Nothobranchius furzeri: one gene and its partners. The protein of the gene in region 3 purifies or fractionates together with the protein of the main gene of each other region. This does not show direct contact. Links are inferred from orthologs where the notes say so. Each region holds a gene or a part of one and is shown on either strand. Other genes may lie near its edges.

Region 1 (2,330 bases), on a different chromosome or scaffold from region 3:
ACATTTCTAACTTAAAGATGTTTAAACATTTGCACTTACTTTTTATTCTAAACATATTCTGTCTAACCACATTTTAAAACATTTCTCTATTTTAGATGCAGCCAGTTTGCATCATATTAAACTCAAGCTTTGTGCAAAAATGGATACGAAGAACAAACACAAACAACTTTAAAAATATGTAAACAATTTATTGTAAATGTCACAATCCCAGTGGTATGTAAAATCATAGAGGGAGAACTTGCTTGGAATTCCATAAGCAAATATACTACAGAACAATACGAGCAAGTACCCTAAACCAAGTGTGAATTTAAAAGCTTCAGAGGACAGAAGCATAGCATAAAACAGCTTTAAAGCACTTAGGGATAAAACAGTGATTCAAAATGCTTAATATGGTACAGTAACAGCAACTTATCAAATAAACATGCAATTTTTACAGTCCTAAACTGAACATTTAAACCTGGGCAGGTAAAAAAAGTACATAAACAATTTAATTTACAGATAACATTCATGAATATATAAAATGTGCAACAAGCCTGAAATACAAGATGGACCAAAAAGCATTGTCTCCACAGGGTTCACACATATATTAAAATTCCTGATATAAAATACATTTTTTATGTTTTTGCCCCATTTTTCTGCAGAAATCTTAATGGGTCCACTTGTAGGTTTATATTTGTGAACTAACCTTCATAATACATGGAGCGACTTTTCCATTATGACTCTTTTCAGGAAGAAAATTGAAGGGACAAACACCTTGATTATATAAAAACTTTAGTAAGAAAATAATTATTCGACCTAAAACATATCATGATCCTTAACAGTGACTATTATAAGTGCAAAATTTGAAATTTCATGACAAATCGATGGTGTCTGATCGCTCATCAGTGTAGGCTGTAGGAAAAACTGTCAATAAATCAAATAAAAATGCAGTTTCAGCTTGTTGAAAATCACAATAAGAAATAAATCAATACTTTTTACTGTTACAGGGAGGCCCTTATTATCGACAGTACCCAAGAAATTAGATCTGATTAATAAAAAAAAATACATGAGTTTTTTTTAAGTCAGTTGAACTGAGCTTCAGATGTTTGAAGTGAATTCTGAAAATGTGCCCATTACTGAGCTTCAAAGGAAGAAGAGCAACTGCACAATTCCAGCATTTTCAAGATGACATCTACCTCGATGATCCCGTCTAGAGCGCGACAAAGCTTCCCAACCGTACAGCCAATAGATCCCGTCTTCATTTTCCATGATTCCAGCATCTGGTGGACATACTCTGCAAGGCCATCACGGTGGTAGTCATGATCTATGGTGTCTATTTCTACATTAGACAGTCCCAGACGTCGTGCACAGATTTTCCATTTGCTCCCAATGTTGGCCCTCACCAGTTCCAAGTGTGCCTCATTTACAGCGTGATTTTCTGAAAAACATAAGATATTTGTTGAAGAGGATCTGTGTTTTGAAGCCCAGATCCCTCTTGCCTACAACTTTCTCAAGTATATGAAACCCAACTGAAGCCTGATTTAAACTCCTCGTTAGCTCGTGTGGAGTTGTGTACATGCATTGATCGATATGTTTTCTCATCAGACTTCTCTGTCACCTGAGGAATGTTGCAAAGCAATATCCCGCCAGGACAACAGCAAGTGTAGCAATTTTTGGCGGTATCATGCCACAATATATTGTTTTAATGTATTTCAGAGACTTTTTAACGGGAACTAATTTGTCCCTATTTCTCATCCACGTCTTCATGCAATTGGCACCTCTAAACCCAAGTTTCTCATCATTTCCGTCCACGGATAAAACGTTTGCTGCATAACTTAGCACTCATTCAGTCACAGGGCAATAAAATTTCATATGAACTACTTTCATTTGAAAACACATATTTTCAGAAAAGGCACTTGAGCTATGTTGTTCCGCAGCAATGCGTTGTGGGTAATACACTTCACCCAAGTCCACATGTATGCAGACTTGGGTGAAGTGCTAATCAAGGGCGCAAAATCTACTTCCGCACTCTGACAGCCTATGCAGTCGTACCCCTGGCTGGGATCGCAATTGAAGGGTGTAAGTGTGAACCTGCGAGTACTGGGATAGGGCCACCCTCTGCGAGCCCGTTGGGACACCCCTTGCGCCAACGCATAATGGCATCTCCGTACTGACGCAGGCAGAGGAGTATAAATCAGGCTTAAGGTTAAATAATAGTGAAAACATGGTTCTGATAATGAAACAGTACATCTAAGTTTTACAATTTTCACTTGGTTCTCTTAATCACATTGTTGGATTACAAGTAAATCAAACCTACCACGATGGCTGCTATGAGTGATTCTTATTGAAGC
Region 2 (3,662 bases), on a different chromosome or scaffold from region 3:
AACCTGACAGCCAAACAAAACAGCAGAAGTTTCGATTTTGCCGGCTTTGCCGCTGGCCGCTGCCGCGCATCACCTCCCGTGTGTCAGGTAATAAAAGCGACAGCGACAAATTTCGCGGTCGTTTGTCGCCTCCCGTGTGTCGAGCCCGTAAGTTGTGTATCTTGAACTTGAAGATGGTTTTATGGGCGTATATATTTTAGTACGGTTGGTGAATTGATGCAGCAAAATGTTGTTTGTTCTGCCTGGTTTACCTGCTTTGCTGCTCAAAGCAAAAACACCTTTAGCTAAGTCTGAGTGTGTTTCAGCAACACTTCTCTTTATTTGTGTGCAGGAAATGAGGGAGTGCATGGAGGCGTTCTGCAGGAAGCCAGAGCACCGGACTTTGAGCAGCTGTGTGGTGTGTCTGCTCTCCCACGGAGTGGAAGGAGCCGTGTATGGTACTGACGGGCAGCTTCTTCAGGTGAGTGTTGGTTTTTTCATCAATAAGTGTCTTTTAAGAGGGAATAAATGTGTTTTATGACATTATTACTTGGTCTCTTTCAGCTGGACTGGGTGTTTGAGGCCTTTGACAACGCACGCTGTCCGCTGCTTCAAAACAAACCAAAGATGTTTTTCATCCAGGCCTGCAGAGGAGGTAAAGATACCGATAATGTAAATGTGTGTTTGTAAACAGTTCAGGTCAGAGCAGGAATGAAGTTTAATCGTTAATCTTCTGCAGGGTGTCCGCGGGTCCTTAAAAAGTCTTAAATTAGCTTTTACAAATTTAAGGCCTTAAAAATCCTTAAAAATGACAAATAATCCTTAAATAGAGTTTCCAAAGGTCTTAAAACACCAAAGACCCAATAAACAAGATTCTGTTATTTCTGTAAAATTTTCATGAATTTCTAGTTGGTGTTCAGCATTTTTTGTGTATGATGTTAACATAAGTGGAACCGTGCACATTCAGTTGGTTGTGAAAGGGGGCTATTTTTAGATGAGCACATTAGCTGGTTGAGCTAGCGGGAGCTTGCGCCATGGGGAAGTGCAAGTTTAATGGTGACTGGATGGCTAATCCCACGTTCGCGACGTGGTTTGCACCGGTTCCAGGCAATAGCAGGAAATTATAGCTTGAATTTAATTTAAAAAATCTGTTAAATTTGGTCAAAGTGGCCGTAAAAAAGGTCTTAAAAAGTCTTAAATTTGGCTCCCTTAAACCTGCAGATACCCTGATTTCTTAACAGTTTATGGAGGAGCTTTAATAATCCCTATTTAGCATTTTATCAGCCCTCCATCAGCTGTTCAGCTCAAAAATGTCACATCTCTTTGTCCTGTTCTTCCTGATGATGCTCTGGACCAGAGGGTACACTGATCACTTCCTGTCGGACTAACAGGCCTAAAAGGCTGTTTTTATCTTGCAGGTTTTTACGTTGCATGTCTAATCTAATTCATTAAACTTCATCATAATGAACAGTACAGTGTAATTCTATAACTGTGAGCACATTTCAGGTAGATGTTTCAGACAGATCCAAAGGTTCGATTCTAATGAGACGAACTTCAGCTTTATGTCACATTTAAACGTGAGCGCTACGTTGGTCCCTTTTGTCCCTCAGAAGAGCTGGACTGTGGCGTAGAGCAGATAGACGGGCCGGGGAGGACCCTCTCACCAAGCTGCGAGCAGCGGGATGCTGGGAGGGAGGAAGCGGGGGATGCAGACTCCACTCAGATAGGGGACATGAGGAGACCCAGGATTAAGTTGCCCCAGAGGTCAGACATGATCTGTGGCTTCGCATCCCTCAAAGGTCAGAGAATTTGTAAGTTTTGAGTTTTTGTGTAATGAGAAATGAAAAGATATTGGTGTAATACAGGAAATCTGAAATGTACCTGTCCTGTAGTTTTACTTAATCAAGCAAAAGCTTTTTCTATTTTAAAAAATACAAAGTTTGATGCATTTAGAAAAAGCAGATGATTTAAGCTTCCACCTCCCTCCAAACAAAGCCAAGAAAAGCTGCCCCCCCCCGGTGGATTTGGCGTTGCTGCAGTGTTTTAGTAACGTGTTTAAAGCGATAGCAAAATCGCTCCTTTTGGAACACCTTTGATAGTATTTTATTAATTATTTCAAAGGAAATGTCCTTCTTAGTCACGTTTTCCTGTTTCCTGTATTAGTTTTGCAGGATTTGTTCAAAATGAAATGAAAGAAAAGGTGCTGGAAATTCCTGATGGCATTTTTTTCTGTTTACTACTCCACACTTGTGCATTTGGTCTTACACGTTTGGTCGTGTTTCCACTGCAGAAGTTACGGAAAACTTCTGGGAAGTCGAGAAGGTGACAGGATAAGTACACTGGCTCGTCCTCTCAGATGTTGTTTCTAAGTACAAAACGGTCCGTTTCAGGACTTTGCAAAGACATGAGCGTATGGCGACCGCTTCAGTTGTGAGTGACGTCACTGATCAGCGCCAACAGGCATCCACGGACATTAATAACATTACAAGTTTCATTCTGTCAAAGTCCGCCTTACTTTAATCTATCTGGGGGGGTGGGGGGGTGGAAGTGTGATGTAAAAAGTGGCGTTCTTTGACCAGAAGACGTGCTGGTTTTTACAGTGCTCTGTGAGATCACAAACGGTATAAATTAGAGCATTTAATGTTTACATCTGCTGATGTCATTTCCTACCTAAATACATCCAGTCAGCATGAGCTATACACAAGTCCCACCCAGCGACTCTACCAGACCTCTCTGAGTACATACTAGGGGTTGTCGACTAGTCGACCTCACTGCTCTGTAGCGACTTTTTATGTCTTTCATCGACTAGTCGCTGTCACGTGATAATGACCGACAAGATGCAGTCCTCGGAAAAGACAGCAGGTGACGAGCCCCTGCGCGTTAGGACGCGACGCGCTGTGCCAGCGCGTCGGTATCTGACGCCTGCGATAAAACGGACATTTAACCAAACTGTGACATTTACTCTCTTGCAATTTAACATTCCCCTCACCCCATCCTAACCTTAACCAGCTTGCGCATGCAGAGCTCTGATCGTTGATGCGCTCCAGACATCTGCGTCCTGAGCACGGCCACAGTAACATCAAATTAGGTGTCACCACCTCAAAAACAAATTAAACACGCGATCGTTCATGTCGGCTCATTTCCTTTTATGTTTTCTGTCTTTTATTTGTGCCTGATGCGTTTTGCTGCTGCGGAGTGGAGCGCATCACCTGTTTTGTCCTCCGGTGACGCACCTCACAGGTGCGGTCGGCGCGCACTCCGCTGTTCTTGCGGTCGGTAGATCTTTTAGAACTGCAGTTCAAAGGTAACTCATAAGGTGAATATATATGAACCCAGGTAGCAGTTTCTCTTTAGGATTGAGAGGAGATGCAGGAAGATAATAAACAGGCAGGACAGAAAAATAGTCAAATAAAAACAAGTTAGTTTTTGCACCTGCTGGTTGCAACAAACAGACACCATTGAAGGTAATCAGAAGTGAGGAACAGAAAATGAAATAATTATTTTAATGTTTAGAGCAGCAGGAACGCCGAGAGGCTGCAGGCGCATCAGTGAGTTTGCGGGAGAAGGCTGAAGCAAGATGCAGAAACTACCGTTGTTAAAAGAGATGTGTTTAACTTAGAAAATGTGGGCGCAATTTTAATTGTCAAAAACTCCAGCGAACCAACCCGCCTCAGGTGTATGAC
Region 3 (2,941 bases):
GCTTCCGCTGTTTCCTTGTGGGTGAATGAGAGGTGAAATCTGATGTTACACTCTGTACCTTTGGCTGAAAGAGCGACAGTAGATAACCCGCTGAGAAGGTGGGAGTGAATGCAAGCCGGGAGGTAGGCAGGAAAGGGAGGAAGGGAGGGGGAGAGGTCTGGATGCAAACGGGAGTAGCGGAGGATGGATTTCAAATACGCCCCCTAGCGGTGGGTAGTGGAAGTACGGCCAAACACGCGTCACCGTGACGTCACGTCGAAACACAATGACCTTGGACGTAAAAAGCGAAGAAAAAAACTGCAAGAGGTGTAATATTGGATTAAAGGTAAACATGCACAAATAAAACAGCACAAATCTCTGAATCAGTCGATTAACTGGATTTATACATCAAGTCTGAGGTTCCTTCCTGTAAGAAAATTAAAACCTATACGTTTAAAATCACCTAAAAAAATATATCAGACTAGGTTTGATGAGTGAATGCTTAATCAGCTCTGATTTATCATTTATTATATAATTTTTCAATTTTTTTTTTCAAAAATTTCCCCAAAAATGCTTTATTTAAATAAACTACATTTCAGTCAATTTCACTATTGGATGTTTTTACTAGCAGAACCTTTCTCCAGGCAGAATTAACTTAGATTAAGTTGCTTTACATAATACAAAAAGTGCCAAAAAGGACGAGGTCATAGTTCATTGTGCAGTTACTGCATGTTGCTTTCCCTTGTTTAGATAAAAGTAGGACTGGTGGGTGACTGGCTGTCACATCTGTGTCCCACTAGAGGAGAAATGATGGGGGTCGATGTAAACAAACAGCCTCCTGTGCCCCAGTGGAGGCTCATCTACTGCTGCACCTCCTCAAGAGAGGAGCCCTCTGCTTCCAGGCCAACTCTCTTCAGAGAATCGGAGTACTTTTTCCTTCCTAAATTCACAATGTCCTCAATCTCGTCTGCCAGGTCTCTCCGTCCGCTTTCTATCATGGCAGCCACGAGCCTTGATGCTGCCCCAGGTCCTGCATTCCTCTGTCCCCGAGCCCAGAGAAACAGCATGTCCAGCACTAAGGCACCCAGGTTGTCCCTGGTGAGCAGAAACACACACGAAATGTTACTTTATTTGCAGCTGACTGACTGGAAAAGGGACTAATGTAAAATGCACCACATTAACCTTTTGTGGGTATGAACATGCATCATTCTATGCAGGTGACTCAGTTATTTCGGAAGAAATGCCAAACATCTATCAAAAATCTATACTCAATATTATACATCTTGATATTATCTATAAACCTTATACTAATGCATAAATATGTGGTTTTGTACTATATATTTTACTCCACCTGCAGAATGTGTCATGATGAGAGGTTTATTTTAGCTTGGGAGAAGGGGGGAGGGCCAGATGAGCAACAGTCTGTGTAATCTCCTGCAGTGTCCCAGATGGCTCAGAGATGGCTGACAGTGCACATTAAAACAATCAAAATTCTCTCCTGTTTTTCTTCCACTGTGTTTTCTTTTCCTCAAGCAACAGACAAGGGATTTCACTTCAGTCCCACTGAAGTTTTCACTTTGTGCACTGATGACACCATTCAGTCATGCAGAAAATGAATATTGTATCTACTTTTCTGCAGCAACTGTAGTGACTTCAGGCAGAAAGGATGCTGTCTCCATTGTCACAGACCTAATTACATTGATTAAACACTTAAAGAGCAAGTCACCCCCTGCCATATTCTTACTCAACTCCCACTTCCTGTTTGAAAAATGCAACAAATGCTGTTGCCTAGCAGACCGAGAAGGCGGAGCCTCTAACAAATACACACTCACAACATTGTGACATCATAATATACCATCTAACATCATAGTGTACCTCTTAGCCAATAGCGATGGCAGATTTAAATTCAAATGCAGTGCTGAGTTTTTGCCTGACGACAGTGCATCTCTGACAGTTTTAGGCAGAATAATTAAATTTTAACTAAGATGCACTAAAGTGCCGAATTATTGACTACATTTGTCTACAGCACAATCGGACACTCATTTATATAGTTTATCAGCAAAAAAAATGGTGATTTGGAGTGACTTGCTCTTTAAGCTTTTTGCAGTTACAGAGGATTTTAAAAAAGGTTTTAAACTGCAATTATATTGTAATTTTGAATAAGGATTTTTGAAAGAAAAAAATGTTTCAGAATGAAAAATTTTCTTTAAACAAAGATCAGATACAACTTTAAAGCTCAAATGAGATGCGAAAACCTTTTAACAGAAAGTGCGTCCTGGAGATTAACAGATTTGTTGTGTATCTTCTATTTCAACGAATTTAGACCAAACACACACACACCTTAGATAAAACACTTCTCCTGACACTCCAGGAAATTACCAGGATTTTTAAAAGATTGCACAAAAAAGTTCCTAAATTAGCCTTCTAACTGTCCAGTTCAAACATCTGCAGGATGTGTTGGGACAAGCTGCAGCTACAAACCTGCAGCCCGCATACCCAAGATAATTATGGAGCTAGGATTGGGACAATATTACATGTAACTGTAAGGATCTGCTCCAACCCTCTGACTCTTGGTCTCGTTTCCCCTTAATTAGTTGTTTATTGGACTCACCTGCCCCTTGTTAACCTACCCATGTGTTCCTGATTATGCTTGTGTATTTATACCTGTTTTAGACTTGTCCTTTGTCAGATCATTGCAGTGTTACATTGCTCCCGTTTGGATCATCCTACCTGCCATTATTCATTAAATCCATTTTTTTTTTGCCTGACCTGCCATTCCTGCTTCCTGGTCCAGCTCCACAACACATGGGTCCACCACCATCTCCACTGCATCGTGACAGTAACTTGTACCAAATTAGAGTTGAGACCAAATGTTTTATACATGTAAACTTGAGTTTTGTAACTGTAGACTGAGATGTGTGTTTTGAAAATTGTGGTTTGAAACTTTTACATAGATTTTTTT

What was found.
Region 1: the proteins of pidd1 (region 3) and ripk1l purify together in Homo sapiens (affinity purification with western blotting; 3 studies listed by BioGRID and IntAct, with this or other methods). This does not show direct contact. The link is inferred for Nothobranchius furzeri from reciprocal best matches to the Homo sapiens genes PIDD1 and RIPK1.
Region 2: the proteins of pidd1 (region 3) and casp2 purify together in Homo sapiens (affinity purification with western blotting; 5 studies listed by BioGRID and IntAct, with this or other methods). This does not show direct contact. The link is inferred for Nothobranchius furzeri from reciprocal best matches to the Homo sapiens genes PIDD1 and CASP2.

What each region holds. Positions count from the first base shown.
Region 1 is NC_091751.1:51,510,998-51,513,327, reverse strand, and holds the end of ripk1l (receptor-interacting serine/threonine-protein kinase 1), read right to left. Parts: intron 1,418-2,330; coding exon 1,113-1,417; 3' UTR 661-1,112; downstream 1-660. UniProt on the Homo sapiens protein: Serine-threonine kinase which is a key regulator of TNF-mediated apoptosis, necroptosis and inflammatory pathways.
Region 2 is NC_091745.1:73,503,729-73,507,390, forward strand, and holds part of casp2 (caspase-2), read left to right. Parts: intron 1-331; coding exon 332-460; intron 461-543; coding exon 544-634; intron 635-1,589; coding exon 1,590-1,790; intron 1,791-3,662. UniProt on the Homo sapiens protein: Is a regulator of the cascade of caspases responsible for apoptosis execution. Might function by either activating some proteins required for cell death or inactivating proteins necessary for cell survival.
Region 3 is NC_091744.1:65,118,824-65,121,764, reverse strand, and holds the end of pidd1 (p53-induced death domain-containing protein 1), read right to left. Parts: intron 1,075-2,941; coding exon 840-1,074; 3' UTR 583-839; downstream 1-582. UniProt on the Homo sapiens protein: Component of the DNA damage/stress response pathway that functions downstream of p53/TP53 and can either promote cell survival or apoptosis.